6 linked regions of the Callithrix jacchus genome follow. The protein of the gene in region 5 purifies or fractionates together with the protein of the main gene of each other region. This does not show direct contact. Links are inferred from orthologs where the notes say so. Each region holds a gene or a part of one and is shown on either strand. Other genes may lie near its edges.

Region 1 (4,987 bases), on a different chromosome or scaffold from region 5:
GCCCTAAGATAACCAGAAACACCAAGACGGGGTCAGAAAGAGAAAGCTCGGTCTGTCACAGGCATGCGGAATGACTTTGTAGAAGAGGGAGCTGTCTAAGAAGAACCTTAGGATAGGGTAGATTCCCAGAGAAAGCATTTCAAGTAGGGGAATCCACAAACTAGGGACATGCAGGCAAAGAAAGCCTGGGCCAAGGCCATGAGGAGTGGGTCATCTATGCTCGAGTCTGAAGAAACAGGGCTCCGGGCTCAGCTGGGTGGGGATAAGCTGTGCTTCTTTGGATTTTTCAAGCCTTTGCAGATGACAGTGGAACTGACGAAATACTAATGTGGTTAAAAGGCATTGCTAACTTCATAGTGGCATCGCATTGCTTGCTATCTGCTCCTCATATGAAAATTCATCTACATTTACGGCCCCCTGCAAACCCATCCCAATCCCAGCACTGGCCTTTCTGCTACTTTCTAAGGTGGCCAAGGACACTTGCTTTCCTCAACCTGAAGCACCCTAAACATCTGCACAGCTCCTCCCTCCCCATTGCAGGTCCTGTGGAAGGACAGGAAAAAGTCAAAGGTAAGGGGGAGAAAGGGTGGTCCCATGACCAGAACCAGGTAATCAGAAGTACATGCCGCTGGTTTGCCGAGGAACAGATGAATCACTGTAATTAAAGTAAAAATGGTTGGAGAAGTATAAGGGGCTGCAAAATGGGGAAGAGCCACCAGGTCAAGATCAATAACATATGCCCCCTCATGCACCGGGATCCTGTCCCTAAGCACTGGGGGCTGACCAGCTGTGGTAAATAGTTAATGACAAAAACTCTGAGAACCTAAGACAGTTTCCCACCCAATATCTTAAAATGCCGAAGAATTCTGACCTGCAGTATTTAACTCAAAGTGCTCTTGCATTCATTGTATTTCATCTTGAGAGGTAAGAAGAAAAGGTATCATGCCCATTTTACAGCTGCAATACTTGAACCCATGCTTGGGGTGTGAGGCAGCACCCCTTCTTTGCCAAGTGGAGCTGGCAGAGGAAGGCAAGTTGACACCCCCGGGAAGGCAGAGGCGGCCTCTGTAGTGCCAGCAGCCCAGACTGCGGGATGAGACCTGGTAAGTGCATGTCCTCCAGACCTACCCTGGGCCTGGTTGAGGCCTCTGATTCTCTGGAGCTGTGTGTGAGGAGGCAGCCACCCTCTGCACAGGGCCGATGAGCCCAGACTAAGTCTTTAACGTCCCTGGTTAAATAGTCACTGTGAAGGCCAGCAGGAAGGATCCTAAGATGAAAGCAGGAAACTGTTCTGCACCTTGCATGATTCATATGAGGAGCAGATAGCGATCACAGAACTGCACAGACCTAAGTGTACACGAATGAGCGTTTTATGCTGCTGAGACCCGGTAAGGTCTGTGTCCAGGATATGACGGTGTGCTAGTCACACAAGATGTCACCATCAGGGAGGCTGAGCAAAGTATACACAGACCTCTACATTCTCTCACAACTGCTTGTGAATCTACAATAATCTCAAAATAAAAAGTTAAATAAGATTACATACCATACGTGTTTACTGGCTACTATACTAGACAGCGCAGCTCCAGAGAGCTGTTCACACTGAGTTAAAGTAACCTCCCACCCACGCTTGTGGGCTCTTCCCCTCACCTAACCCACAGCTGGCACACTTGATTTGGGGGAGTTGGGGGCACTCCTGTGCTCCAGAGAAGATGGGTGTGGGGCCGAGGTCATGGGGCAAAGATAAGAACAGGATCTTAGGATAAATAAGAGATTCATTAAAAGACCGTGTACCCGCAGGTAAAGAAGGATCCTGCAACTCACTGCAGCAGTCTGGAGAGGTGGCCGTGCCGTTGCTGGGACACAAACCCCCCATCCTCTGTGGACGACACCCTGTAAATCCTACACCAAAGGTCAGAGCAGCACAGGGAGTGGGGGCTGTTAGACTTGCCTCCACAGACACAGGGGAAGGAACACCCGCCCTGCGCCCAGATAGGCAAGAGTTGGGTGTCAGGGCTCCTGCTCCGCCGTTAGGAGCCGTTCACACAACTCTGAGACCCGGGGTGCAAAAAGAGAAAGGGCTAGAGGGCCGCTCAACTCCCAGAGAGTAGCCAGGGAAAGGCTGGAGGGGTGCCCTCCCGCAGAATCCCCCAACAACTGCAGCTCCTCCTCAGCCCGCGAGGTCCACCACGGAGACCCTAACAAACAATAGCATCTACAGCGAAGGAACCACCCCCGCAAAGGGCAGAAGCGCCAGATCCTATCAGCCAATTACCCAGACGCTCACCGCGACCCGCAAGTTCGGGCACGCTCCGCCAGAGCGCAGGCAGCGGGAGGGGCCGGGCACGCCCGTGAGGGTGGTCTGGGTACGGGTCTGGGCCGGGGGCGCGCCCGGGGGAGGGGTCTGGGTCTGGGGCGGAGGCGCGTCCGCCGGCGGGGAAGTCTGGGTTGGGGGCGCGCCCGTGGGGGTGGGTTGTCTGGCCCGGGGACGCGCCCGGGGGCGTGGTCTGGTTCTGGGGAGAGCCCGGTGGGTGCTCTGGGTCTGGGCTGGGGAGCGCGCCTAATGCCTGGCATTTGGTTCCAAAAGGGTGGGGGACGCCCAGCTCGGAGCCGGCGCCCCCTTTGCAGCACTGAAGGCGCCCTGGCCAGGTCCATCCCCCGGCCCGGGCCCCCACAGGCCCCTCCACGGCCCCGAATCCGAGCAGCCCCTGGTCCTGAATTCGCCCCGGAAAGGCCGCCCGCCCCTCCAATGTGTGGCGCGCCCCGGTCGCCTCTCGCTCGTGGAACAAAAGAGCAGCTCCCGCGGCGCGGGTCCAGAGCCTGCACGGACTGTCGATGGCCCTCGGCCCCCGAGCGCCGCGGCTGCCGGGCTTTGTGTCCGCGCGGGAGGCGGGAAGGACGGCCGGGGTCCCAGTGCGCGTCCGGCGGAGCGGCGCGCGGCGCCCGAACTCGAAAGTTGTCGCCGGCGCCAGGCGCCTCTGCGGGGCGCCCCATTCATTAGCCAGGAGTCGGGGCGCGGGGGGCGCGGGGGGCTTACCTTGCTCTTGACTTCCACCGCGCTGCAGTCGTAGAATCGCAAGGTCTGAGACTTGTGAAAACTCCGGTTCATGGTTTCGGCCCCGGTCAGCCTCCCCGTCGCCCTCGCTCCTCAGGGGCCGCAGAGACTCCCGGGGGCAGCGCCCCCAGGCCCCGGTCCGGCCCCTGATCGCTCGGCCGCCGGGCTGCTCCCGGAGCTGCGGGCCCGAGCTGGGCTGGCCGCGCGCCTCAGGGAATCCAGGGGCCGCGCGCGGGAGGAGCGCCGGAGACGCCGGCGCGCGCCGCCCCACCTCCCCGCGCCCTCGCCCGCGCCCCGCCCCCGAGCCCCGGAGGACCCGCCCTTTCCCCGCCCCGCTCTCCGGAGGACCCTCCCCGCCCAGCTTCTGCCCCGCCCCGCGCTCCGGAGGACCCTCCCCGCCCAGCTTCTGCCCCGCCCCGCGCTCCGGAGGACCCGCCCCGCCCCGCCGCCACACCCCGCCCCCACGCTGCTGCTCAGCGGCGCCTGGCCAGTAGGTGTGCGCTCTTTTCCAACAATCCCGGAGCCTGGGGAAAGAAGCATCGCGCCCAGCCCAGGCGTCTCGTTTTGATTGGCTCCACGGAGCAACCTAGGAGAGGGGCTGATCTGTGCCATTGTTTTGGGTCATATTCAGGAGAAGAATGCTAACGAGAACCGCTGGAGACCAAAAGGCATCACCTGTCAGTACTAATTGTCAAGTTGTTGATGGTCTGGGAGAAGGGTTTTATCAGACAGGCTTAGAGCAGCCTGGATAACACGGTGAAACCCCGTCTTTACTAAAAATACAAAATTAGCCGGGTGTGGTGGTGTGTGCCTGTAGTCCCAGCTTCTAGGGAGGCTGAGACCGGAGAATCGCTCGAACCTGGGAGGCGGAGGCTACAGTAAGCCGAGATCGCGTCACCGCACTCCAGCCTGGAAGACAGCCAGACTCCGTCTCAAAGAATGAAAAGTAAAAATAAGGGCTTAAAGGGTTTTATCAGATAGCCTATCTCTCGGGACAGGATCAGAAGCACCTGTAGACCTGCCCGATGTGAGAGGAGACTTTTTGTCTAAGGCAGCTAGAAGAAGAGAACCTGTTAGGACAAAGAATCAATTACTAGCAGCATCATTGAATGATTATCAATCTAGAGGCCTCTGAAACAGGGGCTTGCTGAAACCAGAGATGCAGTCCTAGACTCTGACGAATTTGTGAAGTGCGGAAGACAAGACAGTTTTTTAAAGAAATCATTGTAAAGCATACTATGAATTGTAATTTTCAAGTTATATAATTATAAATCTCATCATAAATTCATTTCAAAAGAAACCTGCAGAATACAAATAAGTGAAAAAACTGCACAAAGTACCCGTAGTCATGCAGTTCAGCAATGAATTATATTAACCTTTGGTGTATTTTATTTTCACTTATTTTTTTGCATATATATTTGTATATTTTACAAAACTGTGATAATGCTGCTTATCTAGTTTTACAACCTGCTTTTTTCAGCTTATGCCATATAATGAACTTTTTTTCCCTCTAAAAGCAGGATCTTGCTATATTGCCCATGCTGGAGTGCAATGCCACAATCATAGCTCACTCCAACCTCAAAATTCTGGGCTCAAGCAATCCTCCCACCTCAGCCTCTTGAATAGCAAGACCCCAGGTCTGTGCCACCACACAGACTAATTGTGTGTGTGTGTGTGTGTGTGTGTGTGTGTGTGTGAAGACAGAAGTCTATGTTGTCCCCACTTGTCTCCAACGCCTGGCCTCAAGCAATTCTCCCACCTCTTCCTCCCAAAGTGCTGGGATTACAGGTGTGAGCCACTACACTTGGCCACATTAAATGTTCTTAGATATTTTCTAAAAGGTGCTTATATGAATATAAGCATAATTTATAATCATTTCATTATTGTTGGATATTTAAGATGTTTCCAATGTTTAGCTGTGTTTTTAAATTTTAC
Region 2 (4,969 bases), about 85 Mb from region 5:
TTTTTAGTAGAGATAGGATTTTATCATGTTGGCCAGGCTGGTCTTGAACTCCTGACCTCAGGTGATTCGCCCACCTTGGCCTCCCAAAGTGCTGGGATTACAGGAGTGAGCCACCACACACGGCTGACACTACTGCTTTATATGAAGAAAAAGAGATATTAAAAATGGACGAGAACCCGGTGTGGTGGCTACCTCCTGTAATCCCAGCACTTTGGAAGGCCTAGGTGGGCAGATCACTTGAGCTAAGGAGTTAGAAACCAGCATGAGCAACATGGCAAAACTGTTTCTAAAAAGATTTTAAAAAATAAAAATAAATAAAAGAAAAGAAAAATAGACCAGGTAGGGTGCAGTGGCTCATGCCTGTAGTCCCAGTACTTCAGGAGGCAGAGATGGGGGCATCACTTGAGCTCAGGAGTTCAAGATCAGCCTGGGCAACTTGGCAAGACCCCCGTCTCTATTAAAAAAAAAAATTACCTGGGTGTAGTGGCGCATGCGTATAATCCCACTACTCAGGAGGCTGAAGTGGGAGAATCACTTGAGCCCGAGAGGTTAAGGCTGCAGTGAGCCATGATCGTGCCATTGTACTCCAGCCCCAGTGACAGAGCAAGATCCTGACACGAAAAATAAAAGAATTAATAAAAGGACCTGCACACTACCTATTTCGTTACAAACTCTTAGGGATTAGTGTTGTAAAAAAGCTGTGCTATCACTAAAGCAATGTCAAAGGAAATACTGTTTTAAAAACCCCTCCAAATATTTTTTAAATGATTAGATGACAAATATTTCAATCCGCTGAAAATAAATGTATCAGAAATATATATTTGAAAGATAGAAGGTGTCACAGACACATTAGGAATACTCCCCTACCTATACCTTGCCTATTTGTCAACAGCTAGAATAGTGCATTCAGTGCATTCATTCAGTGCATGTTTCTAGAATCAGTGTATGAGTCTACTTAAGAGACATGGTTCACTAAAAGTGCAGTATGGCAGTTCAAATATACAACATGTAGTTTAGACAGAAGTATGTGAAAGATTCAAAAATCAGTTGACAAGAGAAAGGCAAAAAGCCTGAAATTCCAGTTTTAAAGCACTCAAGGTTTCTTAGTACTAGAGATAAACTACTATTTGATTGTATTTATCAGCATGCTGATAAATACTGATAAAACAGAATTCCAACTCATTTTTTATGAGAAAAAAATTAAAGATTTGCTACCCAAATTAGGGCTATAAACTTATTTTTAAGATTATGCAATATCACAAGTGTTTTTCTTTCCATAACCTCAACGCCCACAAATCCAAACGAGACTTATAACAGAAATGCTGTAAGAAGGTTCAACCACTGGGCACGGAACCACTACTGCCACTATACCGCTAGAGGAAAAGCTCTGCTACATATTTTGGGTCATCTTCACGCTATATAGCTCAAGCAAGTCACTTCAATTTGCTATGCCGTGCACATGGCACACAGACACACGAACATTCCTTAAATTGCTATAACTACACTTCTTACTGATTCTGAAACTAGTGCCAATCCTCATTTCAGTGCCAAATCACATTTTTAAATGATGTTACAAACAAATGTAGATTTTCTCGATGTGATTCTCAGTTACAGAAACTTACAGAACTTTGCTTATCAACCGTAGACAATAAAACCATTCTACCCAGAGGCTCTAGAAAGCTTTCCTTACTCCACTCAACTCACTCCTTGATTCTGCATACTCCTTAGTAGGCTTACAATCTATGACGCTCCATTACTTCTTTTTTTTTTTTTGAAATTGATACGCTTTCAATTTTTTCGTTTTCTGTGTTTTGGCCTTTTCAATTCTATTTTAAATGTTCCGAGGGCCCAGCCAGTGCCCTGTTTTGTATTCTGCAGTGCCTAAAAGTTACTGTTAAAAAGGCATGAAGGCATTGCAAAAAAAGAGCTTGGGAAGTCATAACCTTTCTGAACCTCAGTCTTCTCAGAGAATTGGACTAGACTATCTAAGCTCCTTTTAACTCTTCAACTCAAGAAACTTCGTCGAAAATGTTCCCGTAGCTGCCGATCACCTTCAAACTCCATCTCAAAACCCCCTTTGGAAGGCATTCCCTAACTAATCCCTACAGACTCCCCTGCTCACCGAGCCTTGCGATTTAGGAATTCAGTGAATACCGAAATAATTATCAGCAGATTGGCATACCGCTGGTCAAGGGGAAAAACACTTGATGTAAGTAAGTAGCAGGATGGAATGAAAAGAGCATCCAAACTCAAACTGTAAAGTGCTACTCCAGCGTAAGGTGATAGCGCTAATTTTACAGATTAAATGCATACCAAAGTTAGTTCTAGAAAGAGCGCTAGCAGGAAGCAAAGGGAACTTTTCAAGGGCTATTTAGTTCACTGGGCTCTCTCCTTCGCCACTCGATGCGCCCCTGAACCCCAGAAAGGGGGAACGAGGTGGTCCAGGGCCCTTTATTCACAGCCCAGCAGGCAGGATTCCCCTACATCTTTTGAGCCGCCTCGCATTCCACTAAATGTGTGCCATCCTCGGGCATACCTTGGCCCCTACTCCCAGCCGTGAACACGGGAATGAGATTTACGGGACGAGATTAAACGCTGGATTAGATCTTCTTCCTGCCGGGGCCATGGGCGGACGGACACTAGCGCCCACCGACCCCCGCCGCACCCTCCTCGGCAAGTTTATTACCCACCATCCCCCGCCCGCACGTCCAGACCCCGGGGCAGCTCGGACCGTCGCCTCCCCCGGCGCTCCGAGACCTGCCCAGCCTCTCCCAGGCCCTGGCCCCCCAGGCCCGCCGCTCCGCCCAGCCCGTGCCCCGCGCACCTTGCTCTTCACCTCCATGGTGCCCAGGCAGCCGCTGCCCGCCGCGTGCCGGTGGCTGCGATTCATGCTGAACGCCGGGCCAGCGGCGGCCTCCTCCGGCCGGGCGGCCCCTCTGGAGAGCAGGGAGCGAGTGCGCGGCCGGCGGGCTCGGAAGGCGGCTGCGGCCCGGGAGCCTCCTCACAGGCACCTGCAAAGAAGGCGGCCGCACCTCTGGCGTCTGCGCCGAGCTGCACTCGGTCGGCTGCTCACACGGCGGGACCGAGGGTCGGACTGGCTGTGCGGCGGGCGGAGACGCAGCTCCCTCCCTCCGGGCCCCGGCGGCGGCGGCGACGACAGCGCTGGAGGAGGAGGAGGAGGAGGGGGCGGAGCGGAGGCCACAGGCGCCGCAACCTCTCCCTCAGCCACCTCCTCCGCGAGCCCGCGCGCGCGCACCCGAGCCGGGCCACAGCCGCGGCGCGTGCGCGTGCTCACCTGCCGCCCCCGAAGCTGCTGCAACCGCTCGCGCTCCGCCCACACCCAATAGGAAACGCGCACCTGCGCCCGCGGCGCCAACCAATCGATACACGCCTCGCGCGATGCGTGGGCGGGCCGCCTCCTCAAAAAACCCCGCCTTTCGCTGCGCGATTGGTCCTGCGCTTCGAGGGAGGGGCGGGATCACCTGAAGCCGTGGACCTACGCCCCTCATCAAGCCGGAGAGCCAGAGGGCGCATGCGCGGGTTCTGGAGTTTCCGCCCGAGGAAAGCACGCGGGGCGGTCGGCCGGAAGCGCGAGCGCACCTGAAGAAGGGCTCGGCTGGGTGGGTCTTTTGCGCACGCGCAAGCGCGCGCCTCGTTGTCCGGCGCGCGAGTCACACGCTTGGCTCTGGGGATGGGGCGCCTAGCGCTGCCGGTGGCCGAGGCTCCACGGGGCTGTTTGGTGTCCGCCGGTCCCCCTCCCCGCTTCCACTTTGGGAAGCGGCATCCCCTCCACCGCCCTTTAGCGTCGCTTAGGTGTCCCGCTGCAAGTCTTGTTTGCAAAATTTAAGTTTTCTAGCTTCTGTAGCAGTTGCTGGAGGAGAAGCTTAGGGCTCTCTTGGCTTGACTTTGTCCGAAGAGACTCTGCACGCCCTAAGTTCGTCAGGTCGAGAGGGAAGGAAAGTGGGCTTGAGGCGCGGGAAGGCTCCTTGCGGGCCCAGCCTCCCAGAGGATTTCTAGTCCGGTCTTCCAGTGCTTTTTTTTTTTTTTTTTTTCTTTAAACCTCTGAAGTCCTCTTCCCTCCTCCCGCCATTCCTTAGCCATTCGCTGTTTCTAGTAATGACAGCCAATGGGTTGTGTTCGTTTCCCGGAGTGACCAAGCTGTGTCCCAGAGCAACAAAACTCTGAATTCTCCTCTCTGAATGTCCCAGTCCCTGAGCCCGGCCTCTCTTCACACAGACCCTGTTGGCCATGGGGAGGAGAGGAGAAGACTGAAGATTTGGGCTGGAGGAGATTCCCAAGTCCCAAGGGCTCCCTGTGGGTTCTGGGAATCCAAGAGCTGTTGAAACCTGCAAACCAGAAAGGGGGTGGGGGAGTGGAGGTGGAGGAGGAGGGTCCAGCTTTAGATCTGGCAAGAAGAGTGGTTTGAGTGCCTTCCTCCCCTTACCTCCCTGCCCACCTCGGATGCCTCCTAACACTTGTACCGGTTTCCCAGCACGGGTGACAAGTTCCAGGTTTCCATTTTTGTGTGCATCTGAGTTTTGTGAGTAATCCGCCTCCAGCATAGAATGAAAGCTCCCGAAGGCAGGGAGCACTTGGGCTTTGCTGTCATTGAGTAGTACAGAGCCTGACTCCCAGTGGGTACTGTGCTGCAGCTGAGGGTGTCCTTTCTGCAGGCTCACTTTGCCCCACCTGTGTTCAAAGGTGAGAAGCTCATTTTTTTTTCCCCCTGGAGGATTCAGGTCACCAGACGTTTGTGGGGGAATTTAAGGTTTTTCTGGTCTTCTGAGGTGGCAGCACAGGTGGAAAGGACACCAATCCAAGCTGAATAATAAATAAGCAAGCTGCCTCCACCCGCTGTACGAAAGCACATACGAGGTGACTCAAGCTCAGCCGGAAATAAAGTGCCTATCAGAGCAGCTGCAGGGCCTGTAACTCCCGTTTGGACTAGCACAGCAGTTCCCAACTTTAT
Region 3 (4,535 bases), on a different chromosome or scaffold from region 5:
GCTTAGAGTATTGGTTGCATTTTGTTCTAACAGGCAGTTAAATTACCAGCTCTTCATCTTTGTTCTGTCAAGGCCTGGTATAATGTTTTCGTAGGTTAGGTCTGTTGGAGTTTTACTTGTATTTTTTCAGTGTGGTCCATTTTTCTAAGATGAGACCTTTGTGGGATCTCACTTGAATATCCATCGTCTTCATAAAGATTTCTCAGCTTTGGCTAGACTTCAGTGCTAATAACTAACTTTCCAGCACTGACCTTTGGGATTTTAAATTACCAGTATCAGCTTTCTACTGGGTCTCCTGTGTTTTTGTCTAGTCATGTGCAGCCCTGGAGATGAGCAGAAGTGGATGTGAATTTCTGAGCAGACTTCTGGGGTTCCCTTTCAGTAGCTACCACATCAGAAAGTACTCTGACCCCTCAATCCTGGACACCTTTGCCCAGAACTCTGATCTCTGATTTTCTCTACTAAGATAACTATTTCCTGCTTAGACTTCATTTTAATACCCAATTCCTAGAAAATGCTTCCAGGGTAAAGTCTTGGGGAAATGTTGGATTACTTAATGTTTTCTTTTTTATCAGGGATTGCAGCCTTGTGTTGATTTCAGTCCAGTGCCTACAAAGAGTTGGTTTTTTTTTTTTAATGTGTGTTAGGCCATTCTTGCATTGCCATAAGTAAAACCTGAGGCTGGGCAATTTACAAAGAAAAGAGGTTTAGTTGGCTTATAGTTTTGCAGTTGTACAAGCTATCTGCTCAGCTTCTAGTGAGGTCTTAGGCTGCTTAAAAATCACATTGGAAGGCAAAAGACAGGCGCAGCATTATCACGTGGTTGAGAGTGGAAGCAAGACGGGGGCATAGGTGCCACACACTTTTAAACCAGATCACATGAGAATTCACTGTCACAAGGACAGCACTAAGGGAACGGTGCTAAACCATTCATGAGAAATTCGCCCTCCTGATCCAATCACCTTTCACCAGGTCCCGCCTCCAACATTGGGAATCACATTTCAACATGAGATTTGGTGGAAACAATATCCAGACTCTATCAGTATATTTTGTTCAGATCTTAAAGTTACTTACAGTTGGAGATTAGGTCTCATATAAGCTATTCTCTTTGGTCTAAAGCTGATTTCCTTTCATTTTGTTTTATTGACACATAACTGCCTTTTAAGTTAGATTTATTGCTTTGAGTTATTCTAGAAGAAACTTTGGTTTGTTTGTCATTATAGTATAAGTCCTGTATTTCTGAAAACAAGGTTAATTGGGAAAACAGCATATGTCAGTTAATTTATTGTATAAAATTTGATATCTTAATTATCTGTTGTGTTTTTTGTACTTCAAGGAATCATCTGTTGCAGTTTGCTTTAGAGTCACCACCCAAATTTCCTGCTTCTTCCTCATCAAAGAATCTTGCTGTCAAGGTAGATACTCCTATAGCCTCCAGATTGTCTTTAAAGCAGGGGAGCAGGTTAATGGATAATTTCTTGATCAGAGAAACGAGTGTTTCTACATCAGAGTTGTTGATAAAAGAAAATGAAAGCAAATTCAGCCCTCCAAAAGAGGCAAGCCCTGCTGCAAAGACCAAAGAGACACGTTCTGTAGAAGAGATGGCTCCAGGTTCCTCAGAGGCTCAGCGTCCTGAGACACCCTCAACATCCACTTTGAAACAAGTTACTAAAGGTAGGAAGTTATTTTCATATGTGGAAGTATGGAAATCTTTTCATCCACTTGACATAAGAATAAATAGGCAACATCTTTGAGGGGGAAGGAATGGTAAAGGACAAATAATATTTCACTGTGTCATAGTCTCAGCCATTGATGTAGATATGTTTGTTCTTTTTCAGAAATAGGAATTCAGGCTGACTGCTACAAAAAGTATACAATTTTAATTAGTTCAGGCTTCAAGTATGGCACACTTCAAGTATGGCAGTAGCTTTCTGTTTTTAGCTTTTAATCCTTTTCTCCCCAATTCAGTGTATCAGTTTGCATATAATCTTGAAGAGCTCTTTTTATCTTATTTTGCCACTGCTTGACCACCTCCTCACTGTTCTGCCTGCCATGTAGAGCCTTTGACAATTGGAGCCCTACCCTAGTCATCCCGCCATATTGCTGACCTCTCCCTCTCAGAAGTCTTGCTCTAGCCAAGCTGATCTCCCCACTGTTCCTCCAGTACACCGAGGAATTGGCACACTTCAGCTGGAAGATCTAATCTGGCTTGCCACCTGTTTTTGTAAATAAAAGTTTGCATACCCATTTGTTTACATATGACTGTGGCTGCTTTCATGCTACAGTGGCAGAGTTGCGTGGTTGTGACAGAGGCCATATGATTCATAAAGTCTAAGTTCTTCACTACCTGCCCCTTCACTAAGAATGTTTGGTGACCGCAAATATTCTTAGTGAATGTTATTTCAGTTCTGTATTTCAGTATAGAACTAAAAAGTTCTATACCTTTCCAGACTCTATCCGGATCTTCACTATTCGTTGGTTATGTTAGAAAACACTGTCTCACATCACAAAAGTGCTATAACACTTGTTTTCTGGACTGTTTTATATACCATTTGCTTAGCTGTTTGATAAATATGTCAGCTTGTTTAACCTTTTGTTTTTGTGTCTTCTTTCCAGTGAAGTTTAGAGCACGTTTTAGGCAGAAACTCTTAGACATCTTTGGTATACCCATACCATACACAGTGCAGAGATGTGAGTGTTTATTAAACTTAGATTGAATTAGTTTGTTAGTACTTATGTGTTTACTTCTTTAAAAGAGATATAAATTTCACTTACATTTTCTTTTTCTTTTTTTTTGGAGACGGAGTTTTGCTCTTGTTATTCAGGCTGGAGTGCAATGGTGCGATCTCAGCTCACCACAACCTCCACCTCCTGGGTTCAGGCAATTCTCCTGCCTCAGCATCCTGAGTAGCTGGGATTACAGGCACGTGCCACCATGCCCAGCTAATTTTTTGTATTTTTAGTAGAGATGGGGTTTCACCATGTTGACCAGGATGGTCTTGATCTCTTGACCTCATGATCCGCCTGCCTCAGCCTCCCAAAGTGCTGGGATTACAGGCGTGAGCCACTGCGCCTAGCCCGACTTACAGTTTTAACTATATCCTTAGTCTTTTTACCAATTGACAATTCTTATTGTAGTATTTTTTAGCTTGATGGTTAACTGTTTTTCCCCTAGCAAAACCTTTTTTTCCCAAATGAAATTTTACAATAAACCATAACATATAAAATAGATTGTTCTGTTCCACCTGTACTCCTGCCTATTTATCCATGGTGATCTGTAGGCCCTGAGATACCCCCACAGATCTCTGCAACTTTATGAAATAGTTTGAGAATGACAGTATTCCTTAATTTTAACATTATATATGGAATTACAAATGAGAGCTAAATTAACAAATTTGTAATCATTGACAAAATTGAACAGTAGTTGGCCCAACTCAATAATTATTTAATCTAGTTGTACCTGTCCTTTGCCCAGCCCCTGGGCCAGGTATATCTTACTGAGGTTACTCTTGCTTCTATGCTAAACATGGATAGCTCCTAAGGCTTGGGAAAATTTAAGATTAGTTTTATTATAATTTGGTCATACCTTGGTAGAAAAGATTTAACCAAAGCATTTTCTAGTAAACGAACTTTCAAGCTTATTTGCAGTTTCTTCTTCTGGGCCTAGGACTTCAACTGTGTGACCTTCCACAATTTGGCCATTACCCAGTAACCAGTCTGTCCCACTCCTGTTGTCCTGATGGGCCATTCTTTTTCTTTTCTGCTTTTCTAAGTGCATATTAAGTTGGAATTCTTTTTTACTTTAATTGCTGAAAAGATTCCAGTTTACATTACTTTTGCCCCTTCTACAATTAATAAAGTCTTTTTCTTTTTAAAAAATACAGTGGATTGTCCTGTTTGTGGGGTTAACATTCCAGAAAATCACATTAATAAGCATTTAGATAGCTGTTTAACACGCGAAGAGAAGAAGGAAAGCCTCAGAAGGTAAGGAGGCTGGGCAGAACCATTGAGCTACTTTAGCTGGATGTCTCTTGTGCTTTATAAACTTGGGGGAAAATTACAGTATTCATTTTATCCTGGCGACTGTATTTCCCACTCTTACTTGATTTCTCCTTTAATCCTGTTGGCTGCCTCTTCCAATTCCTCTCCTCTGTTCTGTCTTCAACTCCCACATTACCAACTATGATTAGTTGTATTGAATATTTGAACTGCTACTAAATTTGACTTAATAAGAAATTAGTGACTTCACATTCAATTCTTTTTAAAGTTTTTTTTTTCTCTTAGAATTTTAGAACTACCAAAAAGCCTCTTGGCCAAAGAAAGCAAGATTAGACTCTAAATATAGGATATAGGAAATCTTTCTTTGGTCCTTAAGATGCTCAGGAGTTTTAAAATTTAAAATCAAAGTTTTCAAAAATTTTTGACTAGGAAATTTTATATATATATATATTATATAATATAAAAAGGTATGAAAATGCAAATGTGAAATGTAATGTTGTATCCCATCTCACCCCAACCCCACACCATCCAGGTAA
Region 4 (5,315 bases), on a different chromosome or scaffold from region 5:
AATCACCTTTACAGATGAGAAATCTGGACCCAGAGGGATAGATCAAGGAATGGAAACCACATGCCTCTCCTCCGACACTCCTTCAGGTTACTTCCCCACTGGCTGGGGTCCTAAAAGGCAGAGAGCCCTTAGGGGAGCTCAAGGCCCAGCTCACCAGCTCCTGGCACTGCCTCAGCCTACCACCAGATGGCACTGCTTCCTTTCAGAAATGCAACCTGGCACTCAGTGTTTCAGGCCTGTAATCCCAGCACTTTGAGAGGCTGAGAATATCTTGATCCCCCAAGAGATCAAGACCAGCCTGGGCAACATAGAGGAACACCCTCACCCCCACCCCCACTCCACTGTCTCTACAAAATATTTTATTTTTATTTATTTAATTTATTTATTTATTTATTTATTTGAGACAGAGTTTCACTCTTGTTGCCCAGGCTGGACTGCAACCATAACCTCCACCTCCCGGGTTCAAGCGATTCTCCTGCCTCAGCCTCCCTAGTAGCTGGGATTACAGGCACATGCCACCACACCTGGCTAATTTTGTATTTTTCGTAGAGAAGGGGTTTCTCCGTGTTGGTCAGTCTGATCTCGAACTCCCAACGTCAGGTGATCCCCCAGCCTCGGCCTCCCAAAGTGCTGGGATTACAGGCATGAGCCACCCAAAATAAATTTTTTATTTTTATTTTCTTTAAAAAAGCAGAAACTCAGCCTGGGGTCCTGGGTTGATGATGGGAGCAAGAAGCATTAAGGAGGGGCTTTGGAGAACCCAGGGCCTAAGAGGCTGGGGAAGCAGAGCAGAAGATGAGCAGGGCCTGTCCAGCAGCCACACCCTCAGGAATCTGCACTCTGTAACTCCTGTAGCCTCCTCTACCCCTGCCAACACCTCCCCCTCCCTGACATGCACACAGCCATGCACCTACAGACACCCCTAAACACCTCCTTCCCACCTCTGGGAAGGAGAAGGGGGAGCACCCAGGCTTTCCCAACTGCACACACATTCCAAGTGTGCTTGGTGACACATTTCACTGTTCAAGTATTACATTTGCCAGATACACAAGCATGCATTAGGCACCCAGTCCTCACAACAAATACTTTCACATCTAAGCATATGAACACACAAAGCTACAGACAATCCAGGGCCACATCCTGGCTTGGTTCTGGCACATGGGTCCTGCATCACTGGAAGGAGATTTATTGGCATCTTTGGTGGGACATCTTTGGACTCTGTCTTACCCTGCCCTGCCTCTTCCACCCCCTGCTCTGTAGTGTGCCTGAGAAAGAAGAAGCCTCATCTGAAAGAGCGAGGAGTGCTTTTGGAGCTGCCCAGAAGCAGAGAAAATGCAAGAAGAGCCCAGCCCTGGCCCCAGGACCAAGGCCTACAGATAGGCATGCTCTACCTACTCCCACGTCCAAGCACACCCACTACCTGGGTAGGAAAGTGGACAGCAGCAGGTTCTCTGGGCCTCAGTCTTCTCCTTCACTCTCCTCCCTCTCCTGCTCCCATCCTTCTACGAGCTTTTCACTCCCAGCACCTTCTAGGCTTACCCAGGTGCACCCACCAGCTCATCCTTACCCTGGTGTCACCCCACAATTCCTGTGCTTCCTCCAGCAATGCCCTTCCCTAGGGCTGGGAAGTGAGGCCAGCTGTCCCATATCCACCCCTGCTCTCCTTTAGGCTAGACAAGACTGCTACTGCAAGTGTCCAGGAGTGTCACAGAAGCTACCAATTAGAGGCTCAAGGTTACCATCCTTGAGAACACCAGCCTAGACAAAGAGGAAATCCCAGTCATTCACTGGGTGCCCTGCTCCTGCCTCGTGGCCCTGATAGCCCCCCAGAGAAAATGAGGAGAGGGAATGCCACTCCATTTCCCAAAGGGTGTGTAATTATGTCTGATTACATTCACATCCACCACTCTCACTTTACAGAGAAAGAAACAGATGCCACAAAGTCAACAATGTAAGTGCCCACATGGTCCATGGGCACAAGTACTGGGGAGATAAAAAAGCAAGCACACCCAGCCTCTTTTGCCTCAGGTTCCTGGGGTTGGAAATCCTTCCAGGAGGAAGAAGAGTGGAATTAACATTGGGGAGAGGGTCTGTGTTGGCCTGGCCTCCAAGCTCTCAGAAACCCCTGTATTTGTTTTTTATTTCTGTATTTTCTTGAGACGGAGTCTCGCTCTGTCCCCAGGCTAAAAGGCAATAAAGCAGTCTCTTCTCACTGCAACCTCTGCCTCCTGGGTTCAAGTGATTTTCCTGTCTCAGCCTCCTGAGTAGCTGGGATTACAGGTGCACACCACCACACCTGGCTAGTTTTTTGTATTTTTAGTAGAGATGGGGTTTCATCATGTTGCCCAGGCTGGTCTGGAACTCCTGACCTCAAGTGATCCACCCACCTTGGCCTCCCAAAGTGCTGGGATTACAGGTGTGAGCCACTGTGCCCGGCCCAGAATGATCTTTAGCTACTCAGGAGGCTGACACAGAATTGCTTGAACTGGCACCCTGGAGGTGGAAGCTGCAGTGGGCCAAGGTCACGCCACTGCACTCCAGCCTGGGCTATGGAGCAAGACTCCATCTAAAAAAAATAAACAAATAAATAATTTTAAAATAAAAATAAAAATCATTCTTATGGCTAGGCGTGGTGGCTCACGCCATAATCCCAGCACTTTGGGAGGCCGAGGCTGATGGATCACCTAAGGTTGGGAGTTCTAGACCAGCCTGGCCAAGATAGCAAAACCCTATCTCTACTAAAAAGGTACAAAATTTATCCGGCTGTGCGCCTGTATCCCAGCTACTCAGAGTCCTGAGGCACAAGAATTGCTTGAACCCAGTGAGCCGAGATTGCTCCACTGCACTCCAGCCTAGGTGACAGAGCAAGACTCTGTCTCAAAATAAAATAAAAAAATGATAATAATAATAATATTTGAAATTAAAGAAAAGAGAGGGGGGGCCTAGAGAAAAATGGCTTTGTCAAATGGGACAAATTCAGAGGTTAGAGATCCACCCATCACCTGAAGTAAATACCTCTACCGTGGGCCTGGCCCTCTTGGAGATGTTGCCAGATACAGCCTGGAGTACCCAGTTAGGCCTGGGAGCCAAAATCCTCAAGGAGAGGAGTTTCTAGGTGTAGAGGGTGTCATGGGCTCTTACTGTGGGGAAGCTCTTCTTCATCCCTTAGAGATGGAGATGTCTCTCTATGAAAAGTCACATGATATTCCTAAGGGGAGCCCCCTTTGCCCTGCTCCTGCTTCACCAGGCCCAGACTTGTCACAAGATAGCCTTCTATGAAGTCACAAAGCTGGCTGCCCCACCACAGGACCAGGGACCAGGGCAACCAGGGACTAGTGGGCATGACTTTGGGGGAGAAAGGACTTCATAAGCAGCCTGTAGACTCTGGAGAGAGGTGTAGAGTCTGGAGGAGCTCACCAGACCAGCCTCAGGCTCTAGTGGGTGAGAAGGGTTGTTGGAGACTCCAGATGGGGTCAGTTTCTCTGGTCTCAGTCATCACCAAAAGATGAGAATGGTTGGGGTCTGAGCCTGTATTCCTTAACCATTGTCCTGTCCTTTGAGACCCTAGGGCAGGAGGAGGACCCTTGACCCAGCTGAGTACATATAAGTGTCCTGATCACTGATGTTCTGGGTGATCTATTGAAAGAGGAGGTTAAGGCCCCTGATCCAGGGACCAGATATTCTCCTCAGTGCCATCCCTCTATGACTATCTTTTTTTTTTTTTTTTTTTTTTTTTTTTTTTCCTTTTTTGAGATGAAGTTTCACTCTTGTTGCCCAGGCTGGAGTGCAGTGGCATAATCTTGGCTCACTGAGATGTACATTTTCCGGGTTCAAGCGATTTTCATGCCTCAGCCTCTCAAGTAGTTGGGATTACAGGTGCCTGCCACCACACCTGTAAATTTTGTATTTTTAGTAGAGACAGGGTTTCAACATGTTGGCCAGGCTGGTGTCGAACTCCTAACCTCAGATGATCCACCTACCTCGGCCTCCCAAAGTGCTGGGATTACATGTATGAGCCATGCCTGACTATCCATTCCTACCTGTTTCCTGGGCAAGCACATAGACCAAACTCGGCTGCAAAGCAGCCCTGGGCTGGGCGAGGTGGCTCACACCTGTAATTCCAGCACTTTGGGAGGCCGATGTGGGCAGATCACGAGTTCAAGAGATCGAGACCATCCTGACCAACATGGTCATCTCTACTGAAAAATACAAAAATTAACTGGGTGTGGTAGCACACACCTGTAGCCCCAGCTACTTGGGAGGCTGAGGCAGAATAATCACTTGAACTGGGAGGCAGAGGTGGTGAACTGGGAGGCAGTGAGCCGAGATTGTGCCACTGCACTCCAGCCTGGTGTCAGAGCCAGACTCTGTCTCAAAAAAAAAGAAGAAAAGCAACCCTGGTAGCCTTGGTAGCCTGGAACCCCTAACTGCTGGATTACACAGAGGAAGAAGAGTGTCAGAAGAAACTAGAGTGCTCAGTGCCTACTCTCTCCAAAGGGTAGAGAATCCCACCTACTGAAGAGCCAATCCAGGGGAGAAAACAGAAAACCACTCAGGGAAGAAAGGGTCATTCCATAAAATGTGGAAACTCAGTTACTGCCTCGGAAGGTCACACTTTGTAAGTGGGGCTTGGGATCAGCCACTGGATGGAAGCTTTGTCTAAAAACAGAAGGCGGGGCAAGGGTGGCTCACGCCTGTAATCACAGCACTTTGGGAGACCGAGGTGGGCAGATCACCTGAGGTCAGGATTTCAAGACAAGCCTGGCCAACATGGTGAAACCCTGTCTCTACTAAAAATACAAAAATCAGCTGGATGCTCCTGTAAACCCAGCTACTCGGGAGGCTAAGGCAGGAGAATCCCTTGAAACCGAGAGGCAGAGGTTGCCGTGGGCAGAGATCATGCCACTGCACTCCAGCCTGGGGGACAGAGATATTTAAAAAAAAAACAAGTGAACAAACCTCTGTTTTCAGTTAGGATTCCTGAGCCCTCGCCCTGTGCCCTATGTCTCCAGTGTTGAGGAGAATGCAGCACAGGCCCTGCCCTCAAGGCTCACAGTCTAGGGCGTGATTGACCATGCCCAGCTCCTTCCCTTAAAATGAAGGCTACTATTCCCAGAAGTCAGGGGTAGCCTTGAACCCAAGAGCCTTTTATCCCTGTCCAGGGCACTCCATTTCATGAAGGCTAAAACAGACCAAGTCCTGTTGACTTTGGCAGTTAAGCTAAGACAGCATCCCACTGCCTCTCAGGGTCTGCAGGTCTGGGTCTTGGTGATTAATTCTGTTGAGAGTTGCTCATTGCCAAGCATGGTGGCTCA
Region 5 (5,257 bases):
CCTGAAATTTCAGGCCATAAGCCTCCTCCTTCCTGCAGACTATAAAAGTGAAGGGAAGAGGCCTAATCAGATTCCCACAGCCATGGGCTGTGGATCTAGTAAGTACTCAATGCATGCTTCTTGCATATGAATGCAAAGAGGAAGGCAGGGGAGGAGGAGACCCAGGAGCCTCCCTCTGCCACCCCCAGGCCTGGGAGTGGGCCAATCAAGTTTAGGAACCACTGCTGGAGAACAGGGGAAAGAGGGAGGGACAATTCCTCACCCCAGCTCCACCCCAGTTGCACAGAAAGAACTTTGGGAGCAGGGGAGGAGTTCAGCCCCGTTTGCTGAGCCTGTGGGTCAGGTTTCTGCCACCTTTTCAGAGTGAGAGACTGAAGGCAGATAGGGGTCACCCAGCTCCCTTCCATCCCCTGTGGACACTGAAGCTTTGAGACCCAGCACCCATAGGCTACTCCCTCCAGAACAAGAGTAGCAGGCTCTAGGGGTCCTGAGATCTCCCATTCCCAACACCTGCACCCCCAAAAGCGAGCTGGTGGGAGGTACGCTGGTATAGGAAAGCCCTAACTCCGGAGGCAAATGTCCTTGTGGCAAAGCTCCATCAGGGACACCAGCTTCTCCCACAGGCTAAGAAACCCAGAAGAAAATGGCAGGGCACGTGGGGAGCGCTGACCCACCTCTCCCAACAGGGAGGTCAGGGAGGTCCCCTCCACCCCACAGCAGCAGCCAACCTTCCTGGGCCACTATCCTGGCACTTGTTACCTCATCCCACGTAAGCCCTTAACAAGCCTATAGGTTGGGTGACAGGCACACGATCATCCAGCTCCTACGTGGCAAAGTTGAGTACGCACCTGGACAAGCTGACTTCTGCACTTCTCAAATCAACAAACAAAATACAACCAGGTGGGTGCTGTGGCTTATGCCTGTAATCCCAGCACTTTGGGAGGCCCCGAGGTGGGCAGATCACGAGGTCAGGAATTCAAGACCAGTCTGGTCAACATGGTGAAACCTCATCTCTACTAAAAATACAAAAAAAATTAGCTAGGCGTGGTGGTGAGTGCCTGTAATCCCAGCTACTCGGGAGGCTAAGGCAGAAGAATCCCATGAACCCAGGAGTCAGAGGTTGCAGTGAGCCGAGATTTCGCCACTGCACTCCAGCCTGGGCAAAACAGCGAGACTCTATCTCAAAAATAAATAAATAGGCCAGGCATGGTGGCTCACGCCTGTAATCTAAGCACTTTGGAGGCCAAAGCGGGCGGATCACCTGAGGTCGGGTGTTCGAGACCAGCCTGACCAACACGGTGAAACCCCATCTTAAAAAATAAATAAATACAACCAAAGAGAATTCCTCATTCATCACAGGGAGACATCCCTTTTCCAGACTGCCTGGTCTTACATGCACTGCTTCCTTTTAGGGGCAAGGGAGCCCAAACAGAAGCCCCCAACAAGAGCCAGACGTCCAGCCCTCAGCATGCTGGGAGGCTCCTGGATCCCCGGGGCAAGAGCAACACAGTGTCCTGGTCCCTGCAGCCCACCTTCCCAGCAGAGTGAATCAAAGCACAGGCGATAAGGCCCCACACTGGTCGGTGGCCCAGGAGCTGAAAAGCCACATTATACACCTCCTGTGCACTAAGGCCTGTCCTGACCTTCTCAGGCCCCAGGCCCCTGAGGGGAAGCCCCATGGGGCTTCTGCTGCCCCAGGTACAGGTTTGGGATTGTAGTCCGAGGCCAGTTCTGGCTCATTCTCCTGGCACCTCTCCCCACTCACCCAGCTGGAGCCTGCCAGAACGAATCACGTGCTCAGACTGCAGGGGAGCTGCATTTTCCTTCAGGGGCAATTTGAGAAGGGATAAACAGCCATGGCCTGTGACTCCAGGGCCCCAAGGGACACTGTTACCCCCTTCAGAGTTCATCTTTTCATCACGCACATCCCCAAGCCTCCTTGACAACCCTGTGCCAAGGCAGGCAGGGCAGATCGTTTTATTCCCATGATACAGGTAGGGAAACTGAGGCTCGATGAGGTGGGGTGACTTGCAGAGGTCACATAGCCAGTGAAAGACTTGGGATGAGGAGTCATGAGGGCATCCAATTCCTCTTTCCTATAAAAACCCTTTCACCGGGCCCCATTTCCAAAGTCAGAGTCCCAGGAGGCATTGCAGGCACCATGTAAGAGCTATACCTTAATCCAGCCCCAGCCTGAGCTCCCCAGCCCAAAACCCAGGTCGCCTCCCCTGCTCTCCTTAACTTACCTTGTTAAACTGAAACAGGTCCCGCTTGAGCCTCTCCCGCACAGGGTCATGCCCTGGCCTCAAGAACCGCCTCATTCTGCTTGGTCTGCAGCCCCCACCGGAAACCTGGAGAAACAGGAGGAGCTGTAGGGGCCTGTCCTGGCACTCAGGTATCGATGAGGCCCGGCCCAAACAGGTGGAGCGGCCCTCTCTCTCCAAGTCTAGTAGGCAGCCACCCCGGGGCCAGGCCGGCTTCACAGTGACCGCCCAGGTACCCTGGCTTCCCCACGCTCAGATCTAGAGGCCGGACCACCTCAGGGCTGAAGGCTCTCACCACCTGTGGCCTTATAATGGGGAAGGAAAAGCTGGGGGAGGAAGCCATTTAGCCTGGCTTTATGAGCACAAGGAGGGCCTGCCAGCCCTGAGGTTAATTAGCTTAATTGTTAACCTGTATTCTGAGAAACCATGGAACTCCAGCAAAGCAGAAAGGAAACCTCACAAGCCTCTTCCTCCAAAGTCGGGTGGAAGGTGGAAACACCAAGGCTGTTCCCCAATCAGAGCCCAAATCGGGGTGGCCCAAGGGATTCCAGGCCAGGGCCCCAGCGCAGATGCCTCTTCCTTCTAACCTCGGGCATGGCTGTCCATGGGCTCTCGCCTCAGCCTCTCCAATCAGCCACAGCCAGGAGGAACTCGAGTGGGCACGGATGGCACAGGACACTCAGTCAGAGTGCTGGCCCATCCCACTGTGCCCGGGGTCTCTGCGGGTCCCCTCCCCTCTCTCTGGCTAGCCCCAGTCCAACCTTCCTGTGGTCTATTGGGGTGTGCTCAGAAAGGTTCTCTTTCCCATGGGCCCAAGTGGAGAATAATCAGGAGAAATCTGCTCCCAATAAAGAAACCAGCTTGAGGCCCCCAAACTCTCCGCCCACCACAGAATCCATTCCCAGCCCAAGGGGAAACTATTTCTGGATTATCCTTGGGGGAAGGGGAAGGAGCCTCTGTGCTCCAGCTTCTGGCTTCTAGTAGCTCAGCCTCCTCGTGACTACAGGACAGCAAGGCCCATCCTTGGGAAGCCCAGACACAGGCCCACCTGGGGCACAGCTCTGCTCACTCCCAGCAGGGTGAGGAAGGAAGCAGATCTAATCCCCACCCTGGAGGCTGCACTCCGGGCAGGGGCAGGTAGAGACAACACCTGGCCTGAAGTGGGGAGGGCAGCTCATATTTGAGAAGAAGGTATCTAAGTCCGGGCACAGTGGCTCACGCCTATAATCCCAGCACTTTGGGAGGCAGAGCCAGGTGGATCACAAGGTCAAGAGATGGAGACCATCCTGACCAACACGGTGAAAGTCCTGTCTCTACTAAAAATACAAAAATTAGCTGGGCGTGGTGATGGGCGCCTGTAGTCCCAGCACTTTGGGAGGCCACGGCAGGTAGATCACCTGAGGTCAGGGGTTTGAGACCAGCCTGGCCAATGTGGTGAAACAACAAAGAAAAGAAGAAAATCTAAACTGAGGCTTGAAGGATTTCGGGTTCTTGGGAGGTGGCAAAAATTAATTATCAGGTCAGGACTTTGCATATGATAGGATCCCTTGTGATGTGGGTCGAGTGGGAGAAGGTAGGTAATGTGCGTGGCAGAATTGGGGGTGTCTTCTGGCAGAGGGCTTGCCATGCTGGGAGGGTGACCCGATTCTGCAAAATCACACTGTAAAAAAGAGGCAGTTCTGTAATCTCAGCACTTTGGGAGGCCAAGGCAGGTGGATCACCTGAGGTCAAGAGTTCAAGACCAGCCTGGCCAACATGGGGAAACCTCATCTCTACTAAAAATACAAAAATTAGCCAGGTGTGGTGGCAGACTCTGTAATCCCAGCTACTCAGCAGGCTGAGGCAGGAGAATCACTTGAACCTGGGAGGCGGAGGTTGCAGAGCAGAGATCAGGCCATTGCAATTCAGCCTGGGCACCAGAATAAAAACAACCTCTGAAAAAAAAAAAAAAAGAGGCAGAGCCACATCCTCCTTGAGTGAAAGGATCTGAAGGGTCAGTTACCTCTAAACCGAACACCAGGAACCAGCCCCCTTCTGGGGAAACTGAAAAGGTGGGTCAAGGTCAGTATGAGATATGCCTTTATATTTTGGAGGAGTCAGCCCAAAGGTGGGGCCCCCACTTTGCTGGGGAAGAGCAGGTGGCCGGGAAACTCCTAGGGTCCACTTGATCCAAGGCCCTGAGGGGGTTCAGAGAATAGGCACTGGCTGGGAAAGCCCCTGGGGCTTCTGGGAGTGGAAGTGAGAGGACACTGGGATCTGCCGGCCCAGCATTCCAGCCTGGGGAGGGTTCCAGCCTGGGGGAGGGTTCCAGCCTGGGAGAGGGCAGTTCACGTTCATAAACCAGTTGGACTCCTGGGGGCTCACACCCCAACCCAGGGCCCAGGCCGAGGTCACTGGGTCAGAAGTCAGAGGAAGCTTGATGGGGGCTCCCTGGAGAGTGACCACCACCTGCAGACTCCAGGGAGGGGAGAAGAGGGCACAGGGCCATCTGTGCCAAAGACTCCACACAGGCTCAAAGGTGACAAGGCAGAACTGGGGGCTGGGAGGAGATGCTGGTAGGAAGGAGGGAGGCAGGGTATAGCAATGTCATCAGGAGGGGGCCCCACTGAGTCAGGGGGGTGAGGACACTGAGCACCTGCTGTGCACCCAGGAATGAGTGTACCAAACCCTCTGCAGCCTATTGCATTTAAACAATTTTGCTCAAGTAGTCTGTGCCCATTGTCGAAAAAGCAAATACAGAGGAGAAAATCCTCCCTAAACCCCAGTACCCAGAGAGCCACTGTCATGGGTCACTGAATGTCCTGGCCACCTCCTTTCCTTGGCGCTGAGTATGTTTGTGAGCGTGGAGCTCCTCAACAACACCCTGATCTCGGAAGCCACCTGAAAGGTAAGTGGAATGTCCCCACTCGACAGGTGAGGAAACAGATCACAGCAGCGAAACACCTTGTCCAAGGTCACCAAGTAGGAAGCGGCAGAACTCAGACTGGATCCCA
Region 6 (5,007 bases), on a different chromosome or scaffold from region 5:
AGCCCTTCACCTTTGACCTCTTCCTACCCCATGCACCTCCCCCTACAGTCTTGCCCCCAGGTTGAAGCCACTGTTTCCTGCCAATCTGGAGGCCAGGTGGGCAGCTCCAGTAAAATCCCAGGGCCACCTGGGGAAGTGTCCGGCCACCACCTCCAACCCCATCCCAATCCTGAATCAAGCAGCTGCTCTGTGCCCCTTGGCAGGGGCATCCAGGACCCAGCACCCAGCTGGACCACCAGAGATAAGACTCCTGTGCCTCTGTGGGCCCCAGCACCAAGCCCTGAACTACCCCACCCTGGCCCCAGCACCAAGCCCTGAACTACCCTACCCTGGCCCCAGCACCAAGCCCTGGGCTTTGCACAGAGAAGCTCCCTGAACACAAAAGTTTTGGTAAAAGGCAGAGCTGGGCCAGGTGCAGTGGCTCACACCTGTAATCCCAGCGCTCGGGGAGGCTGAGGCCAGCAGATCACAAGGTCAGGAATTCGAGATCATCCTGGCCAACATGGCGAAACCCTGTCTTTACTAAAATTACAAAAAATTAGCTGGACATGATGGCGGATGCCTGTAATCCCAGCTACTCGGGAGGCTGAGGCAGGAGAATCGCTTGAACCCGGGAGGTGGAGGTTTCGGTGAGCCAAGACCACACCACTGCACTCCAGCCTGGGCAACAGAGTGAGACTCCCTCTCAAAAAAAAAAAATGTCTGAGTTGAAGAGGAAAGAGCCAGCAGCAGTGTTTATCACCCTAATAGGGCGGGCACCTGAGACTCCCTGAAAACACAGGTGCTTGGGGACCCCTCAGGCCCTTGAATAACCGCCATAGGGGGCGGGGGGGAAGGGTGGTGGTGAGGATTGGATATCAAGCGCACCCAGAGAGTCCTGCAAGGATGGACAAAGATGACAGGGTGACCATGTCCCATGGGGGTGACTGAAGAGCTCCCGCTTTTTCTAGAGACTACTCTTCCATGTGTCAAGGACAGCAGCGTCTCACCCCAGGGATGGAGTTTCTAGGGCTTTCCATAACCCAGTGCTGATACTGGCAGGTGCTTCCTGGAACTGCGTCACTGCCCTAAGGCCTGGTCTCCCACCCCACAGCCAGTCCCCTGGGAAGCACTAGGTGCCCAGAGGGCATGAGGAGCGGGGCACTTCACACTCTCAGCAGAAACGAGAAGAATGTGGGAGTGAGATGGGAGTAGGCACGGTAAGAGGATGGAGAGCCAGAGGGGAGAGGCACCCTGGGAGTGGGGGAGGGGCTGAAAGGAGGAAGGTGAAGGAAGGGGTGCAGCAGGGAAGGGAGAGAGGGGAGAGGGGGAAGAGCAGGGAAAACAACAGGGAAAGAGGGAGGAAGAGGAGAGGGTGCGGAGAGAGGGGAGACAGTCCGGGAAGGGAGGGAAGAGGAAGAGGTGGGAGCTCGGTCTCTCCAGCCAGGGAAACCAGAGTCACCGGGTGAAATTACACCCGCTACACCAAAGTGCTCCCGGGGCCGAAGCAGGGGAGAGGGAGGACGGGCCCGCCCAGAACTCTGGGGGCACTGCCCGGAGCCTTGGTCCTGGGAATCCAGCCCCGCAATACATAAGGGTCCAGGCCCCTGCAGCCCTGTGGATGTGGACCTCCCTCTCCCAATGCCCCTGAACCCCGCACCATCCCCTGTGGCCCAGTGTGGTGGCTCCAGGCTGGGAAGGAGACAGAAGCCCAGGTCCCTGGACAAATCCGACAGCCAGGACCTCAACGATGACACGTTGAACCCGCTGACCTCCAGGCCAGAACACATGGCTGCCGTGGAACCCTCGGGGCCCGTCCCCCAGAAATCCCTTTCTTCCAGCTCTGGCACCAAACTCACCCCCACTGCACCCCGAGGGTTCCAGTGCTTGCCAGGGGGGCGCTGCAGAGGCCCCAACCTTCCCAAAGAAAAGACAACTGAGCCTCCTCAACAAATCAGGGGCCAAGCAGCCCCCGAGGCCTGACCTGAGACCCCAAGACAAGATTCGCAAGGAGCTGAAGCCCTCAGATTCACAGGGCGGCACAGAGACCTTCCGGACACAGTCCTGAGTGGGCGTGGCCCGGGAAAGGTGTCACCTGTCTTCCCCCTCCCCCCACCACCAGTCCCTGCCTCTGGGGGTCAGGCCGCCACCGCGGGAGCTGAGTGCTCGCCGGGCTGGAGAAGGCCTTCGGGATCCCCAGGATCCCCCGGTGAAACCTGAAACCCGAGGCCCGCACTCCGCTCCCCTCCCCCACAAGCAGCAGCGGCCACCCGGCGGGAGCCTAGGTCCGAATTCGGGGCTCCTGGATACGCGCGCGCCGGAGGAGGAGGAACACTCGCGGGTCCCGCCTTCCCCACCGCCCGCACTTCGGAGGCAGCGGCCCCTCCGCGGAGCCTGAGCCCGGCCACCCGGAGCGCCCCCTCCGCCCCCGCAGCGCGGCCCAGAGGCTGAGGCCCGGCGTCCAGGAGCCCCCGGTTCCGACCCCGCCCAGCCCCACCGCCAGGCAGCGGCCCCGGGGACAGCTCGGCCAGGCCATAACCCCCAAACTCTCCGGTCCCCGCCCGACCCCCGAGCCCTGCCGGGGGCTGCACTGGAGCCGCCGCGCCCGCGCCCCGGGGCCTCGGACTCGGCCTCAGGCGAGACCCACCGCCGGGAACAACCGGAGAAAGCGGAGAAAACGCCCATTTTAAGGAACCCGCCAGGACTTTCCACAACTTGATGGAAACGTTTGGTTCCCACAGGTTTCTGGCCTGAACGCCGCCGCCCAATTTTCCGGCGAAAACGTCCCCGACGGAGACAGGGGAGGAGCGCGCGGCGTGGATGCGAGCCGGGAACCCGCTCCGGGAAGGGGCCCCGCGCTGCCCACGGGTGTCCGCGGGTGACGCTCGGGGGGGGGTGGGACCTCTCGAGACAGCCCCGGGCCCGCCGCGATCTCGCCGCCGCCTCCCGCCTTCCCCTCCCTCCGCGCAGAAGCCCCGACGGCGCAGTCCCCACACCTCCCGCCGCTGCTCCCGCCTCACCCTCCGTAGTGCGCCTTGAGGCGGACGCGGCCGCTGCTCCCGTCCATCTTGGGGCCGGTCCTGCTTGGCATGGCGCGCTCCGCCGGCCGCAGTCAGCGCGGCGCCCCGGGAGCTCCGGCCATGGCGCGGGGCCCGGGCGGCGGGGCGGGGGCGCCCGGAGGGGCCGCGGCGGAACGCGGAAGACAGTGCGCAGGGGGACCGACGGCGCCGGGCGGGCCAACCACGCGGAACTCCGGCGGCGCGCGGGGCTGGGGTTGCGCGCAGGGCGCGTGGGACGCGCGGGGAAGGAGCGAAGCGCGCGGGGCGGGAGGGGACGCGCGGGGCGGGAGGGGACGCGCGGGGCCGGACCGTCCGGCGAGGGCGGGGGCGGTGTCCGAACATGGCGGACCGACGTGGAGCCGGCGTCCAATCCACAGGGCGGGCGGTCCCGGGGCGGGCGGTGGCACCTGCGGCCAATGAGGGCGAGGCGGGGCCGCCACCTGGGCCAATCCTCCGGGGACCCCAGCCGCGGCCCAATGGCGAGGCGCGGGAGGCTACCTGTCGGGCGGGGCGCGCGCACCTGCGCCAATGGGACCGCGCCCGGCCCGGCTCTGCCCGGCAACCCGCGGGGCCCCCGCCTGGGGGACGGAGCGGCGCTCTCCCCGTGAGACCCTCGGCGAAGTGCGCCCGGTCGTGGCGTCCCTGGAACCTCGCTGGAAACGCCAGTTCTCGGCCCCGCCCAGACCCTCCGAATCGAAACTCCTGCGGCCGGCGCTGCCAGCCTGAGGGGCCGGCCGTCCAGGGGTCCCGGACATCTCACAAGGGCGGTACTGAAGCTGCGAGGGGCGGAGAACCCGGCCACGGCCACGGCCACGGCCACGCCCGGGAGGCTTCGGACTCGGGTTCTCGGGGCCCCAGTTCCGCTCCGACCCCAGCGAATCCAAGGTCCCCTGGAGGGAGGGGCCGTCCACACTCGCGAGTGCTCCCGCTCGCTCCTCCTCCCAGGTCAAGGACACAGCATTGGCCGGAGTCGCCAGGAACTTCATTTCTGAAGCCACAGCCTCTCGGGCCTTACTAGGGGGGCTTGATCTGGGCAGTCGCCCCGCAGGCCCCTCCACCGCCGCTCAGCTCCTTGCCTCCTGGGCTCCTCCCCTGAAATGTGGTCGAATTTTCCCTGATCAGTCCATCCCGTCCTGGCTCCATCCACTGAAGCTTAGATCTGCTGCCTGGAGGACCTCACCCAAGCACCAGGTGGACACGCCCCTCGTCCAGATACAGCTCAGAACACGCCCTCACGCCCCTCCCCCAGGCACAGCTCAGGCCACGCCCTCATGCCCTTCCTCCAGAGACAATTCAGGCCACGCCCTCATTCCCCTCCACCGGACACAGCTCAGACCACGCCCTCACGCCCCTCCCCGACACATCTCAGGCCACGCCCTCACGCCACTCACCCAGGCACAGCCACTGCTTTCATCCTAAATCGCCACCTTGATGCCAGGCCCTGGGGAGACCTGTGGGTACAGAACCCATGTCCGCCCTCTCCTCCGAAGAAGCTGTCCTTCCTTCTTCAACACCTTTTGCACCCTCGCTCCGTCCTCCGACCCATCTCTGCTCCTCTTCACCAAAGCTTCTGCCAAGCCGGCCCCTCCCTGGCTACCTCTCCTGCCACCAGCCACTCCCACGTTTTAAATACAGGGGTCGTTTCTCAGACGTTTTCCTTTTTTCTTTCTTTCTTCTTTCTTTTTTTTTTGAGACAGTTTCACTCTTGTCGTCCAGGCTGGAGTGCAATGGCACAATCTCAGCTCACTGCAACCTCTGCCTACGGGGTTCAGGCCATTCTCCTGCCTCAGCCTCCTGAGTAGCTGAGATTATAGGTGCCCGCCACCATGCCCAATTGATTTTTGTATTTTTAGTAGAGATGGGGTTTCACCATGTTGGTCAGGCTGGTCTCAAACTCCTGACCTCAGGTAATTCACTCTCCTCGGCCTCCCAAAGTGCTGGGATTACATTTTCTTATCAGACCCCTACT

The links.
Region 1: the proteins of LLGL2 (region 5) and PARD6G purify together in Homo sapiens (affinity purification with mass spectrometry; 4 studies listed by BioGRID and IntAct, counting the BioPlex papers as one, with this or other methods). This does not show direct contact. The link is inferred for Callithrix jacchus from reciprocal best matches to the Homo sapiens genes LLGL2 and PARD6G.
Region 2: the proteins of LLGL2 (region 5) and PARD6B purify together in Homo sapiens (affinity purification with mass spectrometry; 7 studies listed by BioGRID and IntAct, counting the BioPlex papers as one, with this or other methods). This does not show direct contact. The link is inferred for Callithrix jacchus from reciprocal best matches to the Homo sapiens genes LLGL2 and PARD6B.
Region 3: the proteins of LLGL2 (region 5) and RAD18 purify together in Homo sapiens (affinity purification with mass spectrometry; 3 studies listed by BioGRID and IntAct, counting the BioPlex papers as one, with this or other methods). This does not show direct contact. The link is inferred for Callithrix jacchus from reciprocal best matches to the Homo sapiens genes LLGL2 and RAD18.
Region 4: the proteins of LLGL2 (region 5) and DCAF1 purify together in Homo sapiens (co-immunoprecipitation; 3 studies listed by BioGRID and IntAct, counting the BioPlex papers as one, with this or other methods). This does not show direct contact. The link is inferred for Callithrix jacchus from reciprocal best matches to the Homo sapiens genes LLGL2 and DCAF1.
Region 6: the proteins of LLGL2 (region 5) and PRKCZ purify together in Homo sapiens (affinity purification with mass spectrometry; 7 studies listed by BioGRID and IntAct, counting the BioPlex papers as one, with this or other methods). This does not show direct contact. The link is inferred for Callithrix jacchus from reciprocal best matches to the Homo sapiens genes LLGL2 and PRKCZ.

What each region holds. Positions count from the first base shown.
Region 1 is NC_133514.1:122,481,937-122,486,923, forward strand, and holds the start of PARD6G (partitioning defective 6 homolog gamma), read right to left. Parts: upstream 3,264-4,987; 5' UTR 3,107-3,263; coding exon 3,035-3,106; intron 1-3,034. UniProt on the Homo sapiens protein: Adapter protein involved in asymmetrical cell division and cell polarization processes. May play a role in the formation of epithelial tight junctions. The PARD6-PARD3 complex links GTP-bound Rho small GTPases to atypical protein kinase C proteins.
Region 2 is NC_133506.1:46,270,908-46,275,876, reverse strand, and holds the start of PARD6B (partitioning defective 6 homolog beta), read right to left. Parts: upstream 3,097-4,969; 5' UTR 2,891-3,096; coding exon 2,825-2,890; intron 1-2,824. UniProt on the Homo sapiens protein: Adapter protein involved in asymmetrical cell division and cell polarization processes. Probably involved in formation of epithelial tight junctions.
Region 3 is NC_133516.1:66,132,289-66,136,823, reverse strand, and holds part of RAD18 (E3 ubiquitin-protein ligase RAD18), read left to right. Parts: intron 1-1,336; coding exon 1,337-1,674; intron 1,675-2,616; coding exon 2,617-2,691; intron 2,692-3,884; coding exon 3,885-3,984; intron 3,985-4,535. UniProt on the Homo sapiens protein: E3 ubiquitin-protein ligase involved in postreplication repair of UV-damaged DNA. Postreplication repair functions in gap-filling of a daughter strand on replication of damaged DNA.
Region 4 is NC_133516.1:34,070,183-34,075,497, forward strand, and holds the start of DCAF1 (DDB1- and CUL4-associated factor 1), read right to left. Parts: upstream 3,211-5,315; 5' UTR 3,003-3,210; intron 1-3,002. UniProt on the Homo sapiens protein: Acts both as a substrate recognition component of E3 ubiquitin-protein ligase complexes and as an atypical serine/threonine-protein kinase, playing key roles in various processes such as cell cycle, telomerase regulation and histone modification.
Region 5 is NC_133506.1:131,439,653-131,444,909, reverse strand, and holds the start of LLGL2 (LLGL scribble cell polarity complex component 2), read right to left. Parts: upstream 3,094-5,257; 5' UTR 2,861-3,093; coding exon 2,852-2,860; intron 2,352-2,851; coding exon 2,247-2,351; intron 1-2,246. UniProt on the Homo sapiens protein: Part of a complex with GPSM2/LGN, PRKCI/aPKC and PARD6B/Par-6, which may ensure the correct organization and orientation of bipolar spindles for normal cell division.
Region 6 is NC_133508.1:40,119,368-40,124,374, reverse strand, and holds the start of PRKCZ (protein kinase C zeta type), read right to left. Parts: upstream 3,381-5,007; coding exon 3,000-3,380; intron 1-2,999. UniProt on the Homo sapiens protein: Calcium- and diacylglycerol-independent serine/threonine-protein kinase that functions in phosphatidylinositol 3-kinase (PI3K) pathway and mitogen-activated protein (MAP) kinase cascade, and is involved in NF-kappa-B activation, mitogenic signaling, cell proliferation, cell polarity, inflammatory response and maintenance of long-term potentiation (LTP).